Drosophila melanogaster: one gene and its partners. The main gene of each other region encodes a partner of the protein of the gene in region 4 in a complex. Each region holds a gene or a part of one and is shown on either strand. Other genes may lie near its edges.

Region 1 (7,566 bases), on a different chromosome or scaffold from region 4:
TTGTCATGACATATGTTTTAAAAAGGTCTAATTGCGAAATCAGTAATCGTCTAAAATGCTAGCAGAGATAAAAAATAATGATTACACAGGTTCACCAAAAGCCTTTATAGAATGAATGTTTTTGATCTCATTTTGTGACAATAAACGATTTCCACGCCTTCACAAACGAAATTCCAGCAATATATGTATGTATGCAACAGGTTAGGGAATGTCAGCGGAACTATCATATTTGGTTACTATTTACATACGTTAACTCGTGAATCTATTCGGATCGCACATGCGTATTTAATGCCAAAAAACCAAAAGATTCAATGCGTCTTATTTGTATAATCCCTTCAGCATATCGAAATGCGAATAGTAATGTTTATTATTCTTTTTGTTTTTGAAAAAACCAATACATTTTTTTTATGTATCCGTTAAAAGTTACCCCAGCGGCCGCCTTGGTCGCCATTTCTAAAGCCGCCGCCTGATCCTCTATTGCTTTCAAATGAGTCTCCAAATCCACCTCTCTTGTTCCCATATCCTCCGCCATTGTTTCCATATCCTCCACCATTATTTCTATAACCTCCGCCATTATTTCCATATCCACCATTATTTCCATAACCTCCTGCATTATTTCCATATCCTCCTCCAATATTTCCATATCCTCCTCCATTATTTCCATATCCTCCTCCATTATTTCCATATCCTCCTCCAAAAGTTCTGCCGTTTCCACGGCGACCAAAGCTGCTGTTAGTAAAGCGTCCTGTCTCAAAGCGACCTCGTTTGGGCGGTCCTCCGCCGTCACTGAACTGACGTGATTGGTGCGGCAGAATTCCTGATTCACGCTGCAGTCCGAAGTCTCCGGCGCTCTTAACGCAAAGGTCTTTGACCACTTTGACCAGCTGTGCATAGGGCTCCTCAAGGCGAAGTATGTCGGAAGGGTTGTCGCACGCCACCGTGATAAGATCCTCCAGGGCCGGCTTAAGGGCACCAATCTTGGCCGCAAGTTCCGGCTCTATGTCGAAGTTAAGCCAGTTGTCAACGCGCACTATATTGTTGGCGGCCAAGTCAATCTTGCGCGATCCAAACAATATCACCTGCAAGGGCGAGACCATAGATAGTTGCTTGCAGGAAACAGCTCGCGTGCGAATCTTCTCGCCGAAAACGAAGAACGGATACGGAAATGTGACGGCCAAGTTGCTGCAATTCACCGAGGTTTTGTGCAGTAACGCTGCTTTAGACTCTGTAGTCAGCACTTTGCGCTTCTCCTTGTGCACGCAAATGTTGGGGTAGAGACCCAAGCACAGCAGCGCCAGGGACACATCCAGCACGGGGTCATCCCCATCAATCCTTTCGTCTACCTCGTGCGATATCATACACTCTTCTGGGAATCCTGCCTGCTGAAGGAGATCCAGTAACTGCTGCTTGGCATCCCAGATAACGTTCATAGTACTCATTTGCAGTCCTTTCCAGTCACAGAACCGAGCTTCCATATGCTCACCGCGTTGTTTCTCGCGCCGCCACATTTGTGAAGCTACAATCATTGCCACGTGGTCGGAACATTTGGTACCACTCAACGCTTTCTGATGATTTGCCAGGCGACGTTGACCTATATCAAGACTAAACACCTCTGAGAAGGTGCTAGAGTACGAAGCCATAATGGCCATTAGATCGGCGCAGCCAAATACTGCGCCGAGGACCATCATCTTTCCAAGTCTTGGTTCAATTGGGAGGCGTGCCAGCAGGCGCCCCAATGGAGTAAGTTCATCGTTAGCGTCAAGGCAGCGCATCTCGCGAAGCAACACCTCAGCTTCGATTACTGCGTCTACCGGAGGTGGCTCCAATGCCTTTGACAAAAAGTGGTGAATGGAGCCCAGTCTGAGTAATTTAATGGTCAACGCCATCTCGTGCAACGGTGTGCGGAACATCTCCGGCGTAAGATTGTCCTCTAGCGCTTGGAAGCGGGCACGCGAACAGAGTGTGAAGCAGAAGCCTGGTCGGACACGTCCAGCTCGGCCCTTGCGCTGCTCCAAATTGGTTTTGCTTGCCCAAACGGTGGCGTAGCTGGTTAGGTTGTTATGTGAAGTAAAGAGCTTCATGCGCGCCTTACATATATCAATTACGAAAACAATGTCGTCAATAGTTATAGAAGTCTCTGCAATGTTGGTAGAAAGTATAATCTTGGTTACGCCTTCTGGAACAGGCTCGAAAACCTTGCGTTGCTCGTCTCGTGGAATCTGCGAGTGGCACGGCAAAATTTGGTATTGGGATGTATCACCAAAAATGTTTGTATTTTGCAGAAACTTCATAAGCGCAAAGATCAGGTTCCAACCGGGCAGGAATACTAAGATAGCACCGGGAATATTTTTTGACTTAATATGCATCAATAATGCCTCCAGCAGCTCAAAGCTAACGTCCGATTCGGATAGCATGGCCATAGCATTTCGAGTCTTTTGTGAATACTTGTCCTCGCACACCTTGTTATAGTTGATTTCCGCCTCGTCCTTGTCCTCGGAAAGCAATTGCTCCTCGTCCTCCACTTCCTTGCGCTTTCGGCGCGACTCCGCCGAAGGCACAAAGTCTGTCATCTGAATAATGTCCTCCAAGAAAAATTGCTGCACGGGAAATGCTCTTCCGGGTACTTCCAATACGGGACAGATGCCAAAATATTTGGAAAATTTCGTTGTATCAATAGTGGCCGACATAAGAATAACTGCAATAGAAGAGTTTCTATTAATTATAGTGTTTTCTAAAAGTCATATCATATTAAATTAGGACTAGAAATGTATGACCCGTAATGCATATAAGTTTTAAGTTCTGAATAGTAATTTTGTTGGGCATAAGTAATTTTGGCAAGTCAACTCTACATTAAATATGAAACACAAACAATTGGCAATGCAAATTTTCAATGGAACAAACTGACAAATCGACTATTAAGAACATAACATATACACTCTGGGCGGATCCGGTACAAACAATATAATCATAATCTTCATTAATTAAGCCAGTGAATTAGTGCAAAATAAGTTATTTTCGCGGCTCAAAATCTGCTCAACATTGCTTTTTATACATGTAAATGTATGTATATATACAATACATATATACAAATGTATGTATATATAAATATATAAGTATAATCAACAATTGTCGAAGAGTTTCACCCCAAGAAATTTGAATGCAGGTTATACATACGGATTTATGTTAGAAATATTGCACCTTATTCGAGCTTACCATGCAGGTCCGGATATGTGTCGACCATGTCGCGAAGGATGACCAGCAAAAAGTCGCTGTTCACGTCTCTCTCGTGGATTTCGTCCACAATAATATGCGACACTCCTCGTAAGCCAGCCTCCAGCTTGCGCAGCAACACACCCACGGTGCAAAAGAGGATTGCGCCGTAGGGTCGTGGAAACACAGACTCAAATCGCACCGAGTAGCCTACAGTGTCGCCCAATTGCTCGCACCGCTCGCGAGCTACGCGCTCGGCCACAGAAATGGCTGAAATGCGACGAGGCTGGGTCACATAAATATTAGCGTACCCGCCCTGGCCGGAGCAGATGTAGTCATCAAGAATGTATTGGGCAATCTGGGTAGTCTTTCCGCACCCTGTGTTTCCACGAATGATTACCACTGGATTGTCATTAATTGCGGTTAAAATTTCCGACCGCATCGCTGCAATGGGCAGCTTTTCGCGGAACTCGAGGAATTGTCGGTACTCGTTGTCGTTTTGGCGGCGATCACGCAGCGAGCGTTCGTAGTCCATCGAAAGGTCATCAATAGAGGTGGTTGCCAGTTCGCCTTCGTCGATGTTGCAGGCATGCCACGTATTCCAGTTTGCCTGAGGAGGAGCCCACGGAATCACGGAGCTTTCCTGACGTTTTTCGCCATCCTGTTGCGAGGAATCTATACGGCTTAAGTTCACCTAGGAGAAAATATTTTACATCGTACACTACATTTTTTGTTCGCAAAAAAAAGGTGGTTTGGGTAGGGCAGCGTATTCCTATGCTCATATAGTAAGGGTATGAATGTAAGAGATAACAGAAATAATCTTGTTCAAGATCACTAGCCAAGTCTATCACAACAAAAGCTTGAAAGTTAAGATTAAAGACGCAGATTTTAGTTATGCTAACGTAGCGTAAAACCTTCTTTGAAATATCTTTTGAACACAGAATTGGATTAGGTCGATTATGGTGTCTGTCGACGCGTATTGAGAGCTATATATAGAAAAAATACAAATGTTACAGCCAAGTATGCAGTACAAATTAATCGAGTTAAAGTATTTGCATTGTTGTTTCGGCATATCAAATATTTTTGAGGGACTGAACGATGTGGGAGTTACTAGCGTATTCCTAAGTATATGACTTACGTAAATCAATATAATAATATATACTTTATAAAGTACTGTTGGATGTCATCAAGAATATTGAAACCGGTATACAACATTTAGCTAATAGTCTTTGTCTGATAAAATCTCTAAACTGTTTTTTAATACTCTGAGATAAGAAATTTAATTCAAATTGCTGATACATTTTTATTTTAGTTTTCTAGTTTCGTATTACTTACAATGAGAGGAATCGGAGGACCGTCCAGTTCGATTTTGATATTGCGCGGGTTTACGACAGGAAGGTCCAAACCCTTAATCACCTCATCAATTTTGTTTATCAGATTTGGCGAAAGCTTCACCGGATATGGCTTCAGCTGCTCATCCTTTTTTTTCTTCAGAGTTCCACTAAAGGGCTCTATCACATTTAAATGGAAAAGTTGGCGCACCAGGGACAGGGCGCATGACTTGCTGGCAGACTTCTTGTTTGAACCCGACTCACGGGCCGTCACCGTGCGATTGAGCGCCGGCACATAAATGGACAATTCGGCCAAAAAGCTCCTACATTAAAAGAACTTTTTGAAAAAATCTGGACTGGTAATGTAGATCAAATCCGGAACTTACCCTCGGGCTATCGTGGGAGTCTACGGACTGCTGAAGGAGCCAGCCGACAGAACGGCGTGGTACTAATGTGTTAGACGCAGCTGGAAAGTCAGCGCTTGAATTATTGTCAGCTAAGCCGCGTTGCATGGGCGTCCGTTTTGCTTACAGACCCCACGCAAGGAAGCTGGACGTGGTTCTTGTAGTTCGGAGTATCGTACCACATCGTTCTGCCGGCGCTGCTCTGCACAAATCAAATTGGTCACAGCCCGACATGATTATGGGCTGCATTTCAGATTTGGCCGTAGGCCATATTCGGTCAAATCCGAAATGCAGGCCGAAGAAAGTTGAAAAGGAAGCACATACCTAGCGTGTTCCGGGCCCACTGGTGTATATTTGTAATCGTCGCGAATGTTGTTCGTCTGCTTGTAAATGTTCAGTCGCTCTTTGGCATTCTCTATGGTCCAGTTACCGTGGATGGCAGCGTTGACATCGAAAGCCTCCGCTTCGTTCATGTCCCTCTGCTCCTGGATGCGATCAATTACTGAGTAGCGGTTACCGCCGTCACCGCCATCGTGGTTTAGAGGGCGATAGGCCTCACCCAGATCCTGTGGACCCGACTGACCATCAAACACTCGCTTCTGCTGTCCACTGCCCCCTGCCATGCCCGCACCCTCCAGACCAGTCCTAGGTCCGCCCCCCGAAGCACCAGCATCCGCTGGAACATCATTGGTGTTCAGTTTGCCCACGCGCACTAGGTAGTTGACAAAATCACGGCACGCATTTTTCTCGGCATCCTTTTTGTTAGTGGAATTACCCACACCAATATAGGTATTTGGCTCTACACGAACCTCGCAAAGGAACCGCTGGCGATTTTTGGGACCTATAAATTAAACTGCTACTTGGGAAACACGCCTGGGGGAGTGCAACATAACCACTTACCCGTTTGGCGAATATCAAACTTTGGTTCTATTTGCGACTTAGCACAAAATTGGTACAAAAAAGATTTTATATCCATTCTTAGATTTTCAATAAACTTTCTATCAACTACGGAGCTCAAATTAAATTTATTTCTTTTGTGATGTCTATTCTGATATCGATTAATTTTTTTGTTGCTTTACAAAACACTAACGCGTCTTGAATCGCCTATCAAAATAGGAACGGATAAAATAGAACAGTGTGTGTAGATATAAAAACATTTAATGTAATTTAATCTAAAATAAAAGAAACCTATAGAGAGACTTAGACATATTTGTATATATTGCACTATAAATAAACAGACAAATTTCTTATATATATACTTTTATTTATTTATTTAAATATAACGTAGAGTATAAAATTTTAAGGTAACTGAAACCTAGATGCATTAGCAGCTAGCACCTTCCATTTTATATTTTTTAAATTAGGTTGGAGCTTTTTAAAAAGTTTCTAATTGTGTTGATGTCAACTGTTCTATGTGGCGAAAGGGAAGAACAGTATGCTAGGATGGGATTAACGTCTAACTGGTTGCAAAGAGCGCATATAAATACATATACATATATATGGGGGACCTGTTCTTGTAATGGTCATTTGTAAGGTTGATGTGATCAAGCCTGAGACTGTTAATAAGAAATATCGTTTTCCTGTTGTGTGATGTGGTGTTGTTGAAAGGAGTTTGATGTGGTATGTTGAAGGATGAGCTTGTATCAGGGAGTTATGTTGTAATGCAGTTCTGTTTGTTTTGAATTGACGTATATGCCTATGTGCCGAGAAGTCTTTTATGTATAAGTAATAAATGAAATATTGCAAAACAAAAGAAACGGAATTCCAATTCAAATTGGTAGACGAATTTTGAGCCGTTTTTTGCGTAAGATGTGTAGGACAGAATATTATCGAATAATTGATATCATATGACTATGTTATGCCCTTCAATCCGTCAAGAAAGATTCCTCATATCATAGCAGGTCTTAGAATCCTTAAATAATTTACGCTAATTTACGATGAAAAAAATAATAATCAGCATAAATAATCATATATTAAATAGTCATTTCTGGCACCAAGAAGACCACTAAACTTGACCAGCGACACGACCATTGATTTCTGTTCAAATAAAAATATCCAAGCTGTTGAAATAAATTAGTATTTTAAAGATGATGACTGAAATTCAGTATTATAGTATATTTGCCCCAGTCTTTTGGTATTTCTCGAGTCCGCGTACTGGTCACACAGCTTTTTGCAACGCGATGGGAAAAAGAGGACGATATTTGAGTTAAAATGTGAATACGGATGCCAGCCCAACTAAATAATAGTGCAATCGCGAGTCACCCATTTAATCGCCTAGTTTGAATTCTTTTTTGCGGCCCCAACGCCGGTACACAGCTGGATTTTTGTTGGTTGCCAGCAGTCCAGCATCACGCACACCCACACGAGCAAATGTAGATAAAAGTGAGAAAACACTCACGCACGCACACACACAGGCACACGTTTGGTCGTGGGCAAGCATTTAATTTCGTTAGTGCCCAGTAAAACAGAGTTGAGCGAAAAGGCGATAGCAACTTGCACAAATTGTAAGCAGTGCAGAGAGTCAGTGAAGAGGGGATCGAGTGAGAGCGGCGTTTAGTGCCAACACCCAAGCGCTGATCTCGCAGCTACAAACAATAAACAAACAGTGAAAGTAACAGTAA
Region 2 (4,852 bases), on a different chromosome or scaffold from region 4:
CAGGTCTCCAGATATCGTGCTCTCCGACGAGTTGATGGCATCGATGGTTGCTCGGGCTGCTGTGTGGCGAAGACGCCACAGCTCCACTTGGAAACTTCCGTAGGTTGCTGGAATAGGAAATGAAAGAATAATCTTGATTAGAACAATAACTATATAAAATTGTGTTATGAAAATAAGAGGGTTACTTACATTTGGCCTGCTGCTTCTCCCTTGCCGCCTGCTCCACAAAGATGGAGCTCTTCTTGGGCTTATCCAAAATCGAGGCATCCACGATGGATTTGTTATCGCCCAATGCTCGCTTGTTCGCCAAATCACCGGCCTTGGGCTCAAAGCGGGACACACGTCTCAGGATCTTAACCACGATACCACCAGATTGAGTAACGAGCGTGAGGACGTGATCCTCCATGCCCATTCGTCCGTACAGCATGGCATCCACCGTCTCCTCGAGAACAAACTCGTCGACGAGGTAGCGCTGCAAATAAAACTTGACCACTCCTCCTCTAAGGGCAATGGCCACCAGGGTGAGTCCCAGATGGGTCAAGGGCAGCGGTAGGAGGCAAACGGGTAGATCGGACATGGGCACCTGGTATAACAGCTTGCCCCGCTTTGAGTAGCACAGATAGCGATTGTCCATGGTGGAGGCGATTATCGTCTGATCGATGGGCAGCAGTAGGAGGCCGGTTAGGGGGATGCCGAGCTTGAAGATCTCCTGTCCCTCCGATTGGCTTTTCCGCAGGAGGTAGACACCGCCATTTCGCGTGGCCACCACGATGCAGAAATCCGTCTCAAAGGTTCCCTGCACGGAGATCAGGCTCGGCACGGCCGTCTCATCATCGCAGGCCTTGCCCTGGTAAACCAAATTGAAGCCCTGCGGCTCCAGGATCATGATGTGCCCGGTATCGGTGGCCAGGACCAAGTGGGACGGGGGATTGGCATCGCTGGAGATGCGCTTTATGCAGCACATGGCCACAATGTTGCCAACCCGACCCACTGGGGAGTCCTTGTGCGTGGCAATGAAGTGCTCCCGCTCCTGCTCGCCCATTTGCAGAAGTCGCTGCGATTTCCGCGACAGCTTGGAGTGGTCTATGGTTTTTAGGGAGTCAAGCAGGGCGGGATGGGCACTTGGCTTCACAACCGGCAGTTTTCGCCATACCTCCAGCTCCAGATCCTCGGAGTCCTGTGCGGGAATCGTGTACTTGAAGTATGGCTTTAGGTGACGATAGAAGAGCACTGACTCAGCGATGGCCACGGCAATTACTGGAAAATTGTATTCATTATGGAATCTAATTTAAAAATATTAAAATGCAACGTTATTTCTACCCGGCGTCTTGGGCTCCGTTTCGTCGATGTAGAGACTTTCAATGGCCGCTGGAATCCCCGGCAGTGGCTGCTCGTGCTTGAGTTTAAGACCACGGAAAACCTTCAGCGTGGCAGTGGGCTCCTCGGCGGCATTGTCCAGTGAAATGTCCGCCGCCAGCAGCCGGACATATCCGTCGCACTGCACGTCGCTCAGGGCCATGCAACTGGTGAGGGTGGTGAGATGCGGTGGAGGAGCCTCCTCCGCCGTGTCCACGTGAAGCCAGTTGGGAGCACCGGCCATGGCAGGATCTTGGTGAAAAATTTGCAGCACAGTGTGAAAACGAACAGGTGATTCAGGACATGCTTTTGTTTTGGTTTTTCTTGTCCTTAGCAACCGGGATGACAGCACATTTTTTGTTACTTATTTGGGTTTTTTCTTAAAAACACAAAATGATCGTCAGCATTATTCTTAAATGCTAACAGGGTAAAGCTACGTATAACTAAAAAATCATTTGGCAAAAGGTAAAACTGTGATCAAATTACTGATGATAGAAAATTTTATTTAAATTGGCCGCCAAAAATGCATTTTGTCTGGTCACACTTAAGGCCGGCCTGCTAAAGACGTGCAAGCATCGACAGTATGTGTTATCGATAAGTGCGAGGGAATATTCGATACCCACGTCAATTGCTTATCGCAAAAAACATTCGTTATAAATATCATCTCAGCGACGCCAGCAGTTGAATTCAATATTTAACATTTTGTATACATAAGTGACTGACTACGGCCCTATTTAACTGCAAGTAATGACGGAGCTAAGGGACGAGACACCGCTCTTTCACAAGGGCGAGATAGTCCTTTGCTACGAGCCGGATAAATCGAAGGCCCGTGTTCTTTACACCAGCAAGGTAAATACACATGCACACACACACACACGCGCGCGCATTGAAATGTCAAGCAAACGTCGTAGGCGAAGTTTTCACAAATGATTTTCCGTTTCCCGCAATTTTCCGTACATGCCGCAGGTGCTAAACGTCTTTGAGCGCCGGAACGAGCATGGCCTGAGGTTCTACGAGTACAAGATTCACTTCCAGGGCTGGCGTCCATCCTACGATCGCTGTGTGCGCGCCACCGTTCTATTGAAAGACACCGAGGAGAATCGCCAGTTGCAAAGGGAGCTGGCCGAAGCTGCCAAGCTGCAAATGTAAGATAACCCCCTAGACATGCGTGGAATACCTCTCTAACGAGTTCCCCCTTCTTTTTCGCACAGTCGTGGTGACTACTCCTACAAGGGCACACCCGATAAGCCATCGGCCAAGAAGAAACGCGGCGGAAAAGCGGCCCACGTTGAGGAGCCAATAGTGGTTCCAATGGACACGGGACATCTTGAGGCGGAGCACGAAATGGCGCCCACTCCACGAGCAGCGGGCAACCGGACGCGGGACAACAGCGGTGGCAAGCGAAAGGAAAAACCCCCGTCCGGAGATGGCCGATTAAAGGGAAACCGGGGCAGACAAACAGAGACCTTTTATAACAATGCCATAAATGATGTATCGGTCTATAACCATGTGCCACAGGAGGATCGCATTATGATGCGAGTCAGCGAGCGATTGCGAGAGCTTATAGAGTACGATCGGAATATGATCAAGGTACTAGGCAAACAGCACGCACTGCCCGCCCGCGTGCCCATCGTGACCATCATGGAAAACTTCGTCAAGCAGCAGGCCGTGGAGCTAGCCATTAGCATTAAACAGGACAGCTCGAGGGCCAGGAACACGCAGAGTCGCAATGCCAGAATGGAGCGGGAATACGATCGCGTTATGTCCACGTTGGTTACCACTCAATATCAGACTTAACAACCCACTTATACTCTTACTTATTAACAGTGTCTGCATGCTGAAGGAGGTGGTAGACGGATTGCGTATCTACTTTGAGTTCCACGTGGATGACCACTTGCTGTATACGGAGGAGAAGGAGTATGTCCACAACTACCTCACAGACGACAACATGCGCAACTGCAGCCTAATATTGAACAAGTCGTACGAGTATATCAATCCCAGCGGTGACACGGAACTGATCGGTCTGGACGGCACGCCAGTGGTAGAAGGGTCGGGCGACACCAATGGACAGATCGGAGTTATTAATATCGGCGGTCCGGAGTACGAGAAGCAGTTGCAAAAATGCCTGCTCTACATTGTTACCGCCAGCGGGAAAAACACTGCGCAGGCCTATGAGAGGACTTCCCCATATACGGCTGCCTACAAACTGCCCGTGGAGATGCGTGGATTTCTGAACGAAACATTCAAGTGGCGGCTTTTGTCAGCGGAATCGCCGCCAGAAAAGTCCATGGTCTTTGGCGCTCCCCACCTGGTTAGGCTAATGAGTATGTACAATCTTTCTTGCATTCTATAACACACATTAATTCATGGTACTTGCAGTTAAAATGCCCATGTTCTTAAACGCATCGCCGATCAGCAACAAGAAGCTAGAAGATCTACTTCCCCACCTCGACGCCTTCATCAAGTAAGTCTAAGACCCCTCCCTAGTCCATCACGAAGCTAATCTGTTGGTTTTTCAGCTACTTGGAGAACCACAGGGAGTGGTTCGACAGGGAAAACTTTGTTAACTCCACTGCCCTGCCCCAGGAAGATCTGCAGCGGGAGCTGTTGGACTCCCTGGATGGGATTGCTGCTTAGCTTTAGTTGATCGTAGTTATCTAGTTTATTTATTATTACGATTAAAGCTTATGCTCTTTTATTTAAAGATTTGTAATTGTCGTTTTGGTTTCTTCAACTACACACTTTGTAAACAACGCACTTCTATAAAAAAGTTTCCTAATGTGATCGTATAATCGAATAATGCCTATAACTATATATGTTAAATATTGAAAATACGATTTTAACATTTTTTTTTGTTTTTTTTTTTTTTTTTGCTTAACCTAAGTTTTAGTTGAGTAGTACATGCTAGTATTTTTGTCATGCCTTGTTTTTTGTGCTCAAATATATTTAAGAGTTGGAAAGTTGTTGTCTTTTGTATTAAGGATTTGCGGACCTTGAGTTGGAATGTGCAGGGAATTCTTAAGATTTGTATAATTTCTCAAAATATTGCAACTGTAACAACTATGTGTGTGCTGATTTGTGTTTCAGATCCTGCTTAGAAATTCGAAATTGTCGCTTGGACGGCTTGGAGTTGGATGCATTCGCGTTTGTAACATGTGTAAACTTGGGACGTTAACTTGGACGATGACTGAACTGGACTGGACTGCCGGCCCTCACTTCTGTCGCTTGGTGGCACTGCTGGCCGTGGGTCGCATGAAGCTGCTCACGGATCGACTGCTGCTAGTGCTCCTCTGCTGCGGACTGGGGTTCGCACTCATCCTGGCCTGCTGCTGCTGGTTCAGGGCATTTTTCACCAGCACCACGCTGCGAGCGGCGCTCATTCGGGACTGTGACTGGGGTTGGGACTGGGACTGGTTTTCCTTAAAACTGGTGCTACCATGGATACTCGATTTCGGAGCCGTGTTGGACATCTTGCTGCGCACCAAGATCACACTGG
Region 3 (6,449 bases), on a different chromosome or scaffold from region 4:
ATCGCACATCGTCGAGCGGGAATTTGGGGTAAATCCTCAACACGGCAATGTCGTTGCCGCCGAGCACCCTAAACTGGGGATGCCATCTTCTTTCCACGACGAAGAAGCGGGTCTGCTTCCGGCTGTTCAGCGAATCGGCGCCACCAGCCACGTACAGTTGTTTGGTTGGATTCGTTTGGATGCAGTGGGCTGCACTGAGCACGAACTCATTCGAAAGTATAACGCCCACGCAAAGGTGCTTGTAGTATCCTTTAAGGTTCTCTCCTATGGAGACGATGTATGGATAACGAGGGCGGAAACTTATCACCTTCGTGGTCGACACAGTTGTGGCTAACAAAGGTGTGCTATTCTGCGGGGTGTCGGAAAGCGTCTCCTGGGCTGCCGACATCGCGGCGAACCAAGCTATGGAGCAAAGAGATTGCCAACAACACATAACTGCGACCAAGTCACGAATACAAAGACGTCACAAAGACGTCTTGTAGTCAGGTTTTATCATCAAGCATCTTAACTTTATAATTGGGCATGAAATTATAATTTTCTGTATTCTCACATGGTTAACTTTAAAAGAATATACATTTAAATTCCATTATATTATCAAACTTTATAAAGTATAGCAATATTTTTTTTGAAGAGAAAAAGCTTGTACGGTTACTATCTACACGTCTGCAAAATTATGGAAACAGTTCGAAAATAGCTTAAAAGAAAATCCTCATTAGACCCCTATAACCGTGATCAATAGAAATGCTACTTGCTAGTGGCAGAATCTCTGAGGGTCTGCTTCATATTGGCCACCTGGTTGAGCTTGGCAAGGCGCTTCATGGTTTCGAGCTCCTTAATAAACGTGGCCAGCGCCTCTTTTGTGGTCGAGATGTCAGCGTCCTTTAAGTCATCCAACGTGTCCTCCTTTTCAAGTTCTAAAAGAAATTCAAAAATATATATAGATTCATATATACTCGTGACAAAAATTAGTTTTGGATACTAACCGTCCATTTCGGCTTCTATGTCATTCAGCCGATCGAGAACCAAGGATTGCTGCACCTTGATATGCTCGATCAAACGGTACTGGCACTCCTCCGGATCGATGGCAGCTTCCGGTTGCGGAACGTTCGGAAGGTCGGGGGCCTCCAATTTTGCACGCTTAACCGGTGTCAACGCAGTAGAGTCCAGATTGTCTTCGTCCCACTTTTTGGCCCATAGATAAAGCTTCGGATGACAGCGGTTGCGTGCGATGTTAATCTTCACCAGCAGCGAGTGCATCGATCGCTTGGCATCTAGCAAATTGCCGGTCAGCGTGTGCGAGCGCTTCAAGAGCTCGAATTGTTTGGTGGCCTGTGGATTTGCAGTGTGATACGCGGCCACCGGCAACTTGCCTTCGAATAGCCAGTCCTGGTCGTGCTTAAATCTCATAGAATCCCGACCCCTCTGCGGATTGCGACAAATGTAGCACACATACTTGTCCGGTACATCTGCCTCTTTGACAATTCCGTTGCATGCACCGTGTTGCCAGCATAGGCACAATTCACATTGGATCATTAGGCCGTCCTCTTCGCCATACTCGCAGATGCAGTTAATGATCTCCTCCTGCCGCATGCGCACAATTCGAATTAGTTCACCATTTTCCTTGATGTACTGTGGTGCTTTGCTTAACGTTTCAGCTGGTGGTGGGGCAAGGGCTGCATTTATGTCGGTCTGGTCATTAGATGATGGCGTGGACACCGAATCTCCCATGGCTGGTGAGTCAATGGAACTGATGGGAGTTGTTGCCGCACCACTGCGGCGTTTTTTCGAGTCGATGCGCGTATCCGGAGTGGGGGTGTTAAAAGATTGCCGTGTCTCCTCAACATCTTGTTCGGTTAAGCCATGACCAGCCGGGTTATCTGACAAAATGGGACGACGCTGAGAGCGCTGGCGGTTACTCTTTCGCGAGCCAGATGGCCGCTTCGACGGCGACAAGCGTGCACGCTTGCAGGAACGACTCAATGAAGGATTAAACGACTGAGTTGGACCAGCATCCAGAGAAACATCTTCTTGTTTAATGCCACTTTCAACAGTTGGCGACACACTTGGTGGCTCCATCTTAGGAGATAACAGGGCCTTAGTAGGCGTTATGTCAGATGGCGTTGAAGATGTGGCCGTAGCTGATACACTCTGTCGTTTAAACGATCGTGACTGCTGCAAATCCTGCTGGTGCATTTTGGCAAAGAATTGCTGGTTGGGTATTTGGTTTTTTGGCACCGCCTCAACTTGATCGATGGATGAGGGGTGCGTACGTTTGACCGCTAGTTCCTGCATCTTTGGACAGTGGCTGACGTGTCTGTAGATTTAAAGTAAGTTAGGTGTCATGAGTTTTGAATGAATATTACTCACTCTGCAAACTCCTTGTGATAATGGCGAATGTGGATTAGCAGAAAGTCTTCTTTGCGATAGGTCTTGGCGCAATCTTCGCGCGGGCATACATAAAGATTGTCTTGGATTTTGACTTTTAGGCCCCCAATGAAAGCTGAAATATGGAATTATAATTTATTTTAATATAGCACATGTTATTTCAAATTGCATATACTTACCAAAGCCATTTTCCACCACATGAGGATCTGCTAACATAAGCTGAGAGGTACCTCCCTCACTGGCTTCCAGTATTTCTGCTTCTATCTTGGGCTTTGTCTCATCGGCAGGCTGCGTCTGCGGCGACATTAACTCAGCTGGTGGCATAAGCGAGGCCACCGGTGCTTCCATGTACTGGCTTTCTTTCACCGGCATCGGAGTAGAAGGTAAAGAATGTTGCGACGTGATGCTCTGGTCCAGCGTGGAGTTCATCGACACATCCATGGGCCTGGGCTTGGGCGGTGGCTGCGGATTGTAGCCGTGTGTGTAGACGTAAGCATTGATGTCTTTGGCACGACGTCGATGGATGCTAAAGTCGTACACATCCGGGTTGTAGACCAGATTCTGGGACTCAAGGAACAACTTCAAGTCGGACTTGGAGCGGAAACGTTTGCCGCTGGGCGAGACCAGAATAACATCCCACTTGCCGAGGACGTTGGACCGCTGGTACATGTGCTTGATCCAGCCAGGAGGCAGACGCCAATCCTGCACGATAACAGTGGGTTTCTGGTGCTCGCCCACAATCAGAAAACCCTCGGTTCCAATAGGCTGGTCATTTACCCAATGACAAGTCCACTCGCCGTCATGCGGTATTTCTGGGAGTCCAAGGGATGCTGTTGGTTACGAAAGTCAAACATGAAAGTTAAGTTTAAGGCAAAACTAACATTCTCCTTTCGGTGCTCTTACCTATATCCAAACTGGCCATGTCCAGCAACGGCCAATCCCTGCGCTGAGGTGCACATTTGCTCTTCTTGCTGCCCGAAGAGCCACTGGATCCGCCAAGGCTGCCTGTGCTCGCCCGCTTCGGAGCCACAGGTGCAGAGCTTACTGGAGTTCCAACAGGAGTGGGTGACTTTGAGGCACCCTCTTCCGCTACCTGAACAGGGGGCAACTGCTTGGGCATCTTGTTCATGTGCACGGCGCGCACGTTCTTAACGTAACCATCGTCGAAGAGAACCTCGTAGGTATCGTTGCCCAGCAACTTGCGTATGGTTCCTGGAAACTTACGCGGCCCCGACCAGCGGGCCATGCACTTCTCGTCCAGCTCAAAGACGGGCAGCACACGGTTGCTGAGGCGCTGCCTCAGCCGCTCCGACTTGATGGCCATCCACTCCTGAAAGCTGCCGCTGGTCGAAGGTGACACCTTTAGCTTGTGATTGCGCTCAAAGCGCACGAGTAGCGTCTGCTCCGTCTCGTTAACTTCCACGATGCGGGCGGGCAACCAGTTGCCTTCCACACTGAGCGCCTCCAAACGGGCGCCAATAGTCAGGTTATGTGGGTTGCTGTACTTGGGCGGTGTGCCGGGCAAAGGTGAGTTCGAACTGGAAGCGGATCCAGGAGCTGGGACTGTGGCTTCGCTGCTTGCGGCTACCGGAGTCCCTGAGGGTTCCTTTGCAGCTGCCTTGTTTGCATCTTCTCCACTTTCGGGAGTATTTTTAACGTCATCCGCCGCCTTGCCTGTTTTACCTTCCTCCGTGGCCTTGCGTTCTGCAGATTCCGACAGGATTTGCGCAACTATTTGGTCTACCGTAGCTTTGATCACATCGTCATTGGTCGATGACTGAGCATTTCCCGGGGTTTCAGTCGTTCCCTCCACGCTGGCGTGCTGAAGTGCCCGTTGGTCTGCTTCGATCTCCGCGGTATCCATCTTGCCCCATGGAAAAACGGTGGGAAAGACGCGCGGCTTGAGCAGATACTTCCCATTGCGGATAGTGTTGAAGTCCAAACGGCGGAAGTGGCGTGAGCAGACCAGCACGCTCTTGGTGATCTGGCGCTCCAGGCTGATGCGAGAGTTTTTGATCCATATGGCGCGGATGATGGGATCTAGGGGGAAGGAGTGGTAAGTCACGCCGTTGTGCTCCAACAGACGCGACGTCGACGGGCAGTTGGCCACGCAGCACCGGCGGCCCATGGCGATGAAGTTCACCCAATTCTCTATTTTGTTTGCCTATGTGCAAACGCACACTTTGCTAAGTGATGAAATAATCCAGGAAACGACGCGAAAATTATCCAGAAAAATACAGCGCAATAAATTAGTGATACCAAATTGGGGTACAGTAAAAACGTGTGCGTCGGCAAACTATCGATAGTTAGATATTGCCACCTTGTTGGAAAAGTTCAAAACTATTTAACGATATTTTTTGAATTTTATAAAAAATAAATTTTAAATGACTTTATTGCATAGATCTTTATTGTGGTGATAAATAAATACTACTTTCGATAAATAAATAAATATTACTTTAGAGCCTGAGTAGGTTGAATTTAATTACTTTTTATTTCTGACTATCTCAATTTTCATGAAACTTTACATCAATCTTCCTGCCATAAATTAACTATTAAAGTTGGTAAATACCCGCTGCACAATTAATATTAATCGGTGCGTTAATGCATTTTAGCGAAGTGAGGGTGCCATAAATTTCCTCAGCTCGGCGGAAAAAGGATCACGTGCCGATACGCCACCGTTCCCAAGGCCACCGAAAGCCTATTTGAAATGCAATTAATGTACGCTTTTGGGCTTACATGTCACCACGTTCGCCAAAAGGCAGACACCTTGCAAAAAGCTAACCAAATACGATATTATCCATTCGACAAATGCTTCTGGAAATATGTATTTCAACACTGGGTTTCAAAGTTTGAGGAGCAGCTATTTACGCATACTGCTAAAATAAACACTCATTGTAGTTTTTAATTACAATATTTCACCCGGTCATTAGCATGCAAGAAACAACTGACAAATTTAAATGTGGCGCCTGCTGCTTGATCGGTTGATTGAGCCGCCAAAAAAATCGATTGAAGTATGGAGCTTTGGCCTTCAAATCGAAATATGTGAGGAAAATGTGATGGCACATTTTGAAAGAATAAAATATTAAGATTCTCTATATTGTGTCAATATCTTATGTATATATGTGGCTTGACCCCTCGAATTCCGTAACTAAACAGTTTAGTTCCATTACAAATATTGTTTTAGAATGATAGCCGGAAACTCACGGTCGAAGAGCTTCCTGTTTTTGGGTACTTCCCTGAAAACGAGGTCTCTGGGTCAATCGGTTGACTTTTAGATCTTGGGCGTGTTTGCGAAATTGACACGGAGCCAATATCAAATGGTGTTGACTTTGATTCAGTGGATTGCCAATATTTGTAATCAAATCACGGCTGGAGCATAAAGCAAACTTTAATTATAAAATGCTTTTATTGTCATATGCAGCTGACATAAATATTAAATAACGTGAGTAATTGACGTTGCTAAGCCGAATAATTTAGCATTTTATAAATTTTGGTCAGTCAAAAACTGACATTGAGGGGGCCACTCGAAGGGAAATCCAAAATGGGTGGTAAACACGGTTAGATTTCCGTTTGCATAACTATTAGTGAACATATTTGCATAAATTATCGACACTCGATGAAATTGGGACGACTGCACCTGACCTCACTCTCTTTTTGTGCAAATAATTCAACAATATGTAACCTGTGCAAAAATATTTTTCAAAAACAGAAAACCGAAAACAGAAATATGTACAAGGAGAGTACAAAACTTTTGGTCCAACTGACGGCGGCACTTTCTCCTTTAATATTTACCCAACTCATCGACAAATTGGCCAGGCCCATTCCCCAGCCTCATCTCATCGGTCCCAGCCGCATAGCCCATAAGTCAGCCCCTTCTCCCTCTCCCTCTCCCGATCCCGATCCCCATTCCGATACCGTCTGGGAACTCATTGCGTAAATATGAGGGCATGCAATGCGGTAATAGGCTGGCTGCGCGTCTCTTGACAGTTGGGCCCAGTTTCCCGGTTCCTTATCACATGATTATTACCCAAAAATATTATCGCTAAATGATGATGATCATTTTG
Region 4 (5,460 bases):
TTAAACATGGAGTATGATGAGAGCACCAGTTTGCAGCGATTGGTGCGTTCCGAGGCCCACACACCGGATTCGCCTGCCTCTGTTTGCGAACGCGACGGAAACGATCGCCTGGGATCCGTGCTTCTGGATGCCGTTTCGCCAGGGACACCCTTTGGCTTTCCGCTCGTCAGCAATCCGGATTCCTTGGCTACGCCTATGTTGGGCGGCGAGCGTTCGTCGCGACCGCGACTTCCACAATCCCAACAGCAGCAGGATGAGGGTCTGAATCGCCGGGTGTCCAGCTCCTGTCGATCGCTAGAGCGCCTGCATCGCGGACCAGGTCGGGTGTCCATCTGGTCCAACATGATGCCCAGCCAAGTGGCGCATCCGTTTCAGGGCGCCATGGGCGCACAGATCGTGTGCAATGGCTGCGGCTCCAAGTCGGCCGTTCGGTACGATAAGTTCGACAGCATAACGCTAAATCTGCCGCCGCAACGCAGAACTGGCTTGAGTTTGGGCCACTTGCTTAGCGAGTATATCACATCGGAGGATCTGAGCGATGTCAAGTGTGACTCCTGCAACGAGACCACCACGCACACCAAATCGGTTACGTTCGCTAAACTACCGGCCTGCCTGTGCATCCATGTGGCGCGGACGGTGTGGCTGCCAACTGGACAGGTGTGCAAGCGGAAGGACTATGTACACTTCCCCGAGAGCCTCTCCATGGCGCCCTACAGCTTCGTGCAGCCGCATCTCAATAGCCAGGTGAGCGTGTGTTGCATATGTTTGCCCCAGAATAACAAACTTCCCCTGTAAAAATTATCCTTATATATGATCATTTAAATACATATATCTAAAGGATATATATGTATAGGATATATCTATAGAATATAGGTCTTTCCTTTTCTAATTGGTGTACAAAGAGTAGTGGCATTCAATTCAAGAACTGTTTACATTTAGTAACTAGCATATTGTTAAAACAAACACTTTTGCTCATGATTACAGGCTGGCACTCCCTGGGGCTCGACAATGTCGCTGTATTCCTCCAGCCTGCCGATGAACAATGGCGTTGGTGGTGGCGAGGGCTTTGGCACGATGTTCCCCAAGAATCTTTACCGGCTTCTGGCCGTGGTGGTGCACTCCGGGGAGGCAAACAGCGGTCACTTTGTAACCTACAGGCGTGGCTCGTTGCGGAACGCACATCGGTATGGTTTCCATTGCCTCTGTGTAATAATTATGCTAATTCTGTGCTATCCTTATTAGGTGGTACTACACATCGGATACAATTGTGCGGGAGGTGAGCATCGACGAGGTGTTGAGCGTCCCCGCCTATCTTTTATTCTACGATCGTGGCCAGCAGAGGCAGCTAAATCTGCGCTAGTCAGGTGTAGGTCGTCGGTATTATTCTAGTCCATACTTTTGATGTGATGAATATGAATATCCGAAACCAAATCCTTTTCGTCGAACGGTGGCCATAGCAAACACGCGTCACATTTATATAGATATATATACATAACTCATATAAGTACGGGAACCCACGATGATCTGACCTATACTCGGCGGGTTCATGTAATGGTCTCCGCATAATCCAAACTCTGTGTACGGCTTATTGCATATAGGAACTCCCTATCGTAACAGAGAGCTCGACTCTTCATTTGTTATCTATGCATTTAAGATTTTTTAAGAATTCCAAATTCATGCCGTGCTTTTAGCTGTCTGTATTTAGCAATGTACACAAATCAACTACCAATAATTGTTTGCGCGTTAATTCTGTAGGATAGATGTTCAATAAAAATTTCGAAATCAGTTCCAATTTTTTAAAGTGCTTTCTCTGAAGGTTTTGGATAAATAAAATATATTATAATACTGAATGCACAGAAAAATCCAGAAGGGTAATTTCAAAAAGGGTGCAAAGTATTGTACATCGATAACCACCGATTAATAATCGATTATCTGGACATGTTGTGATAAATCAGGGTTGCATTTCACGCCGTATTTCGTTTCATTTCCCTAAAGAGTGAACAAAAATACGCAATTGGACAAATCTAGTGGCTAAGAATGTCTGAAGCGGAGCTGGAACAGACACCCAGCGCGGGCCACGTGCAGGAGCAGCCGATTGAGGAGGAGCATGAGCCGGAACAGGAGCCAACCGATGCGTACACAATTGGCGGTCCGCCGAGGACGCCGGTTGAAGATGCGGCGGCCGAATTGAGCGCCAGTCTAGACGTCAGCGGCTCGGATCAGTCGGCGGAGCAGTCGCTCGACCTCAGCGGTGTCCAAGCGGAGGCCGCGGCGGAGTCAGAGCCACCGGCGAAGCGCCAGCATCGCGACATCAGTCCCATTTCGGAGGACAGCACGCCGGCGAGCAGCACATCGACTAGTTCCACCAGGTCGTCCAGCTCCTCCCGCTACGACGATGTTAGCGAGGCGGAGGAGGCACCACCGGAGCCCGAGCCGGAGCAACCACAGCAGCAGCAGCAGGAGGAAAAGAAGGAGGACGGTCAGGATCAGGTGAAGTCACCAGGTCCAGTTGAATTGGAGGCACAGGAGCCCGCGCAGCCGCAGAAGCAGAAAGAGGTGGTGGACCAGGAAATTGAAACCGAGGATGAGCCCTCCTCCGATACGGTAATCTGCGTGGCCGACATCAACCCCTACGGCAGTGGTTCCAACATTGACGACTTCGTTATGGATCCCGATGCTCCTCCCAATGCAATAATCACCGAGGTGGTTACCATTCCAGCTCCTCTTCATCTCAAAGGGACACAACAACTGGGGCTGCCATTGGCTGCCCCACCGCCACCACCACCTCCTCCAGCAGCGGAACAAGTCCCCGAGACTCCCGCCTCGCCCACAGATGACGGCGAGGAACCACCAGCAGTATATTTATCCCCCTACATACGCTCTCGCTACATGCAGGAATCGACACCTGGCCTGCCCACCCGCCTGGCGCCGCGTGATCCTCGCCAGCGCAACATGCCGCCGCCAGCCGTAGTTCTGCCCATTCAAACCGTACTTAGCGCCAACGTTGAGGCCATTTCTGACGACAGCAGCGAAACTAGCAGCAGCGATGACGATGAAGAGGAAGAGGAGGACGAAGATGATGCCTTGACCATGGAGCACGACAACACTTCCAGGGAGACGGTCATCACAACAGGTGACCCTCTGATGCAAAAGATCGATATAAGCGAAAATCCCGACAAGATCTATTTTATTCGGCGCGAGGATGGCACCGTGCACCGTGGCCAGGTGCTTCAGTCTCGCACCACTGAGAATGCGGCCGCTCCCGATGAGTACTACGTCCACTATGTTGGTCTCAATCGCCGCCTGGACGGATGGGTGGGCAGGCATAGGATCTCGGACAATGCGGATGACTTGGGCGGTATTACCGTGCTGCCAGCGCCACCATTAGCCCCCGATCAGCCAAGTACTAGCAGGGAAATGCTCGCCCAACAGGCCGCCGCGGCGGCAGCTGCCTCATCCGAACGGCAGAAGCGTGCGGCCAACAAGGATTACTATCTGTCCTATTGCGAGAACAGTCGCTATGACTACAGCGACCGCAAGATGACACGCTACCAGAAGCGGCGCTACGATGAGATCAACCACGTGCAGAAGAGCCACGCTGAGCTGACCGCCACGCAGGCGGCGCTGGAGAAGGAGCACGAGTCCATTACGAAGATCAAGTACATTGATAAGCTGCAGTTTGGCAACTACGAGATCGACACCTGGTACTTTAGTCCCTTCCCCGAAGAATATGGCAAGGCACGTACGTTATATGTTTGCGAGTACTGCCTAAAGTACATGCGCTTCAGGTCGAGCTATGCCTATCATCTGCACGAATGCGACCGCAGGCGTCCGCCCGGAAGAGAGATCTACCGCAAGGGCAATATATCCATTTACGAGGTGAACGGCAAGGAGGAGTCACTATACTGCCAACTTTTGTGTCTGATGGCCAAGCTCTTTTTGGACCACAAGGTTCTATACTTCGACATGGACCCGTTTCTCTTTTACATCCTTTGCGAGACGGACAAGGAGGGCAGTCACATTGTGGGCTATTTCTCCAAGGAAAAGAAGTCGCTGGAAAACTACAACGTGGCCTGCATTCTGGTATTGCCGCCGCATCAGCGTAAGGGATTTGGAAAGCTACTAATAGCCTTTAGCTATGAGCTGTCGCGCAAGGAGGGCGTAATCGGTAGTCCGGAGAAACCGCTCTCGGATCTGGGTAGGCTGAGCTATCGCAGCTATTGGGCATACACGCTGCTGGAGCTGATGAAAACCCGCTGCGCTCCAGAGCAGATCACAATCAAGGAGCTGAGCGAAATGAGTGGCATCACCCACGACGACATTATCTACACGCTGCAGTCCATGAAGATGATCAAGTATTGGAAGGGCCAGAATGTCATTTGCGTTACGTCCAAGACCATTCAAGACCACCTCCAGCTGCCGCAGTTCAAGCAGCCCAAGCTGACCATCGACACCGATTACCTCGTCTGGAGTCCGCAAACTGCAGCGGCAGTGGTCAGAGCTCCGGGAAATTCCGGCTAGCATACGGAACCTGGAGACCCCGTTCTGCTATCATCGCATATAATTGTTATTGACGATGACGATTAGGTTTTTTTTTTTTATTTTTTTTTAAAGAAAGCGTAGGAATAAGCTATTCTATTGCACCCCTCCAAACGAAAAATGTATAGTCATATATCTAAATGGAACCATCAGAAGGTTCAATGTAATACTTAACATTTGGTTTACAATTTTTTTTTTTTATAGTTAAGGAGTTTTACGGATAGGCTGTTGTAACTCTTAATGATAGAACCAAATGTCTAATTCGTTTGGCTAATGTTTTTGGAGAGGGAATTTGGAACAACCATTTAAAAATTTTAAAAACTTCTGTGTTCTTGAAATATATATCTTTAACTACTTTATCTCGAAAAACTCTGGACTTGTTAAAAACCAAATAAACTTCCACAGCAGCCGATATGCCGACGCCTGAAGAGAATACATCTCTATGAACTCCTTACACGTAAGATAGCATAATCTCTCCACGGTACATTTTTATACACTATAATTAAGGAAGAGAATCCATAATATCTTTTAGGCTACACATTAGGTTAAGTTCAGAAAGAACTGAACGATTCCTACTGACTAATGAACAATAATAAATGATTTAAACTGTAAAAAAGAAAAACTCCAATCTGAGAACATGATGTACTTTCTCAAATAAATGCGTCGTTACATTAACGTCAAAAAGAGGAAAAATTAAATAAATATTTACAACGACAGGTTATTCTTTTCATTATTTTTGCAACACATTTCTTGTAGGTTAGCTTAATATGTATATTTTGATATAATAAAAAATATATATAGAAATATCGAAAACATTGGAAAAACAAGTTTAAAATTTCGAGCATTAAAATCCATTGCTAACCCTCTCCTCCCTAGCGTCATAAGCAATCGGTTATCGAGGTTATCGATAACGCCCGCATC

The links.
Region 1: mof (region 4) and mle share a complex: the UniProt entries of both Drosophila melanogaster proteins name them as parts of the male-specific lethal (MSL) histone acetyltransferase complex.
Region 2: mof (region 4) and msl-3 share a complex: the UniProt entries of both Drosophila melanogaster proteins name them as parts of the male-specific lethal (MSL) histone acetyltransferase complex.
Region 3: mof (region 4) and MBD-R2 share a complex: the UniProt entries of both Drosophila melanogaster proteins name them as parts of the non-specific lethal (NLS) histone acetyltransferase complex.

What each region holds. Positions count from the first base shown.
Region 1 is NT_033778.4:5,974,774-5,982,339, forward strand, and holds mle (maleless), read right to left. Parts: upstream 6,006-7,566; 5' UTR 5,922-6,005; coding exon 5,846-5,921; intron 5,787-5,845; coding exon 5,270-5,786; exon of another isoform or gene 4,928-5,269; intron 4,865-4,927; coding exon 4,546-4,864; intron 3,905-4,545; coding exon 3,214-3,904; intron 2,696-3,213; coding exon 417-2,695; 3' UTR 321-416; downstream 1-320. UniProt on the Drosophila melanogaster protein: RNA helicase component of the male-specific lethal (MSL) histone acetyltransferase complex, a multiprotein complex essential for elevating transcription of the single X chromosome in the male (X chromosome dosage compensation).
Region 2 is NT_037436.4:7,122,674-7,127,525, reverse strand, and holds msl-3 (male-specific lethal 3), read left to right. Parts: upstream 1-1,992; 5' UTR 1,993-2,103; coding exon 2,104-2,205; intron 2,206-2,322; coding exon 2,323-2,501; intron 2,502-2,567; coding exon 2,568-3,125; intron 3,126-3,183; coding exon 3,184-3,680; intron 3,681-3,735; coding exon 3,736-3,820; intron 3,821-3,875; coding exon 3,876-3,993; 3' UTR 3,994-4,313; downstream 4,314-4,852. Other genes in the region: BBS1 (Bardet-Biedl syndrome 1), read right to left, coding at 1-107, 190-1,257, 1,321-1,600; form3 (formin 3), read right to left, coding at 4,569-4,852. UniProt on the Drosophila melanogaster protein: Component of the male-specific lethal (MSL) histone acetyltransferase complex, a multiprotein complex essential for elevating transcription of the single X chromosome in the male (X chromosome dosage compensation).
Region 3 is NT_033777.3:12,351,631-12,358,079, forward strand, and holds MBD-R2 (MBD-R2), read right to left. Parts: upstream 4,636-6,449; 5' UTR 4,514-4,635; coding exon 3,289-4,513; intron 3,216-3,288; coding exon 2,565-3,215; intron 2,501-2,564; coding exon 2,368-2,500; intron 2,315-2,367; coding exon 984-2,314; intron 915-983; coding exon 745-914; 3' UTR 513-744; downstream 1-512. Other genes in the region: CG10041 (uncharacterized protein), read right to left, coding at 1-433. UniProt on the Drosophila melanogaster protein: Component of the non-specific lethal (NLS) complex, a multiprotein complex that promotes expression of housekeeping genes on X chromosome and autosomes.
Region 4 is NC_004354.4:5,873,330-5,878,789, reverse strand, and holds mof (males absent on the first), read left to right. Parts: upstream 1-1,936; 5' UTR 1,937-2,037; coding exon 2,038-4,521; 3' UTR 4,522-4,950; downstream 4,951-5,460. Other genes in the region: Usp30 (ubiquitin specific protease 30), read left to right, coding at 1-744, 985-1,184, 1,243-1,360. UniProt on the Drosophila melanogaster protein: Histone acetyltransferase that catalyzes the formation of the majority of histone H4 acetylation at 'Lys-16' (H4K16ac), an epigenetic mark that prevents chromatin compaction and constitutes the only acetylation mark intergenerationally transmitted.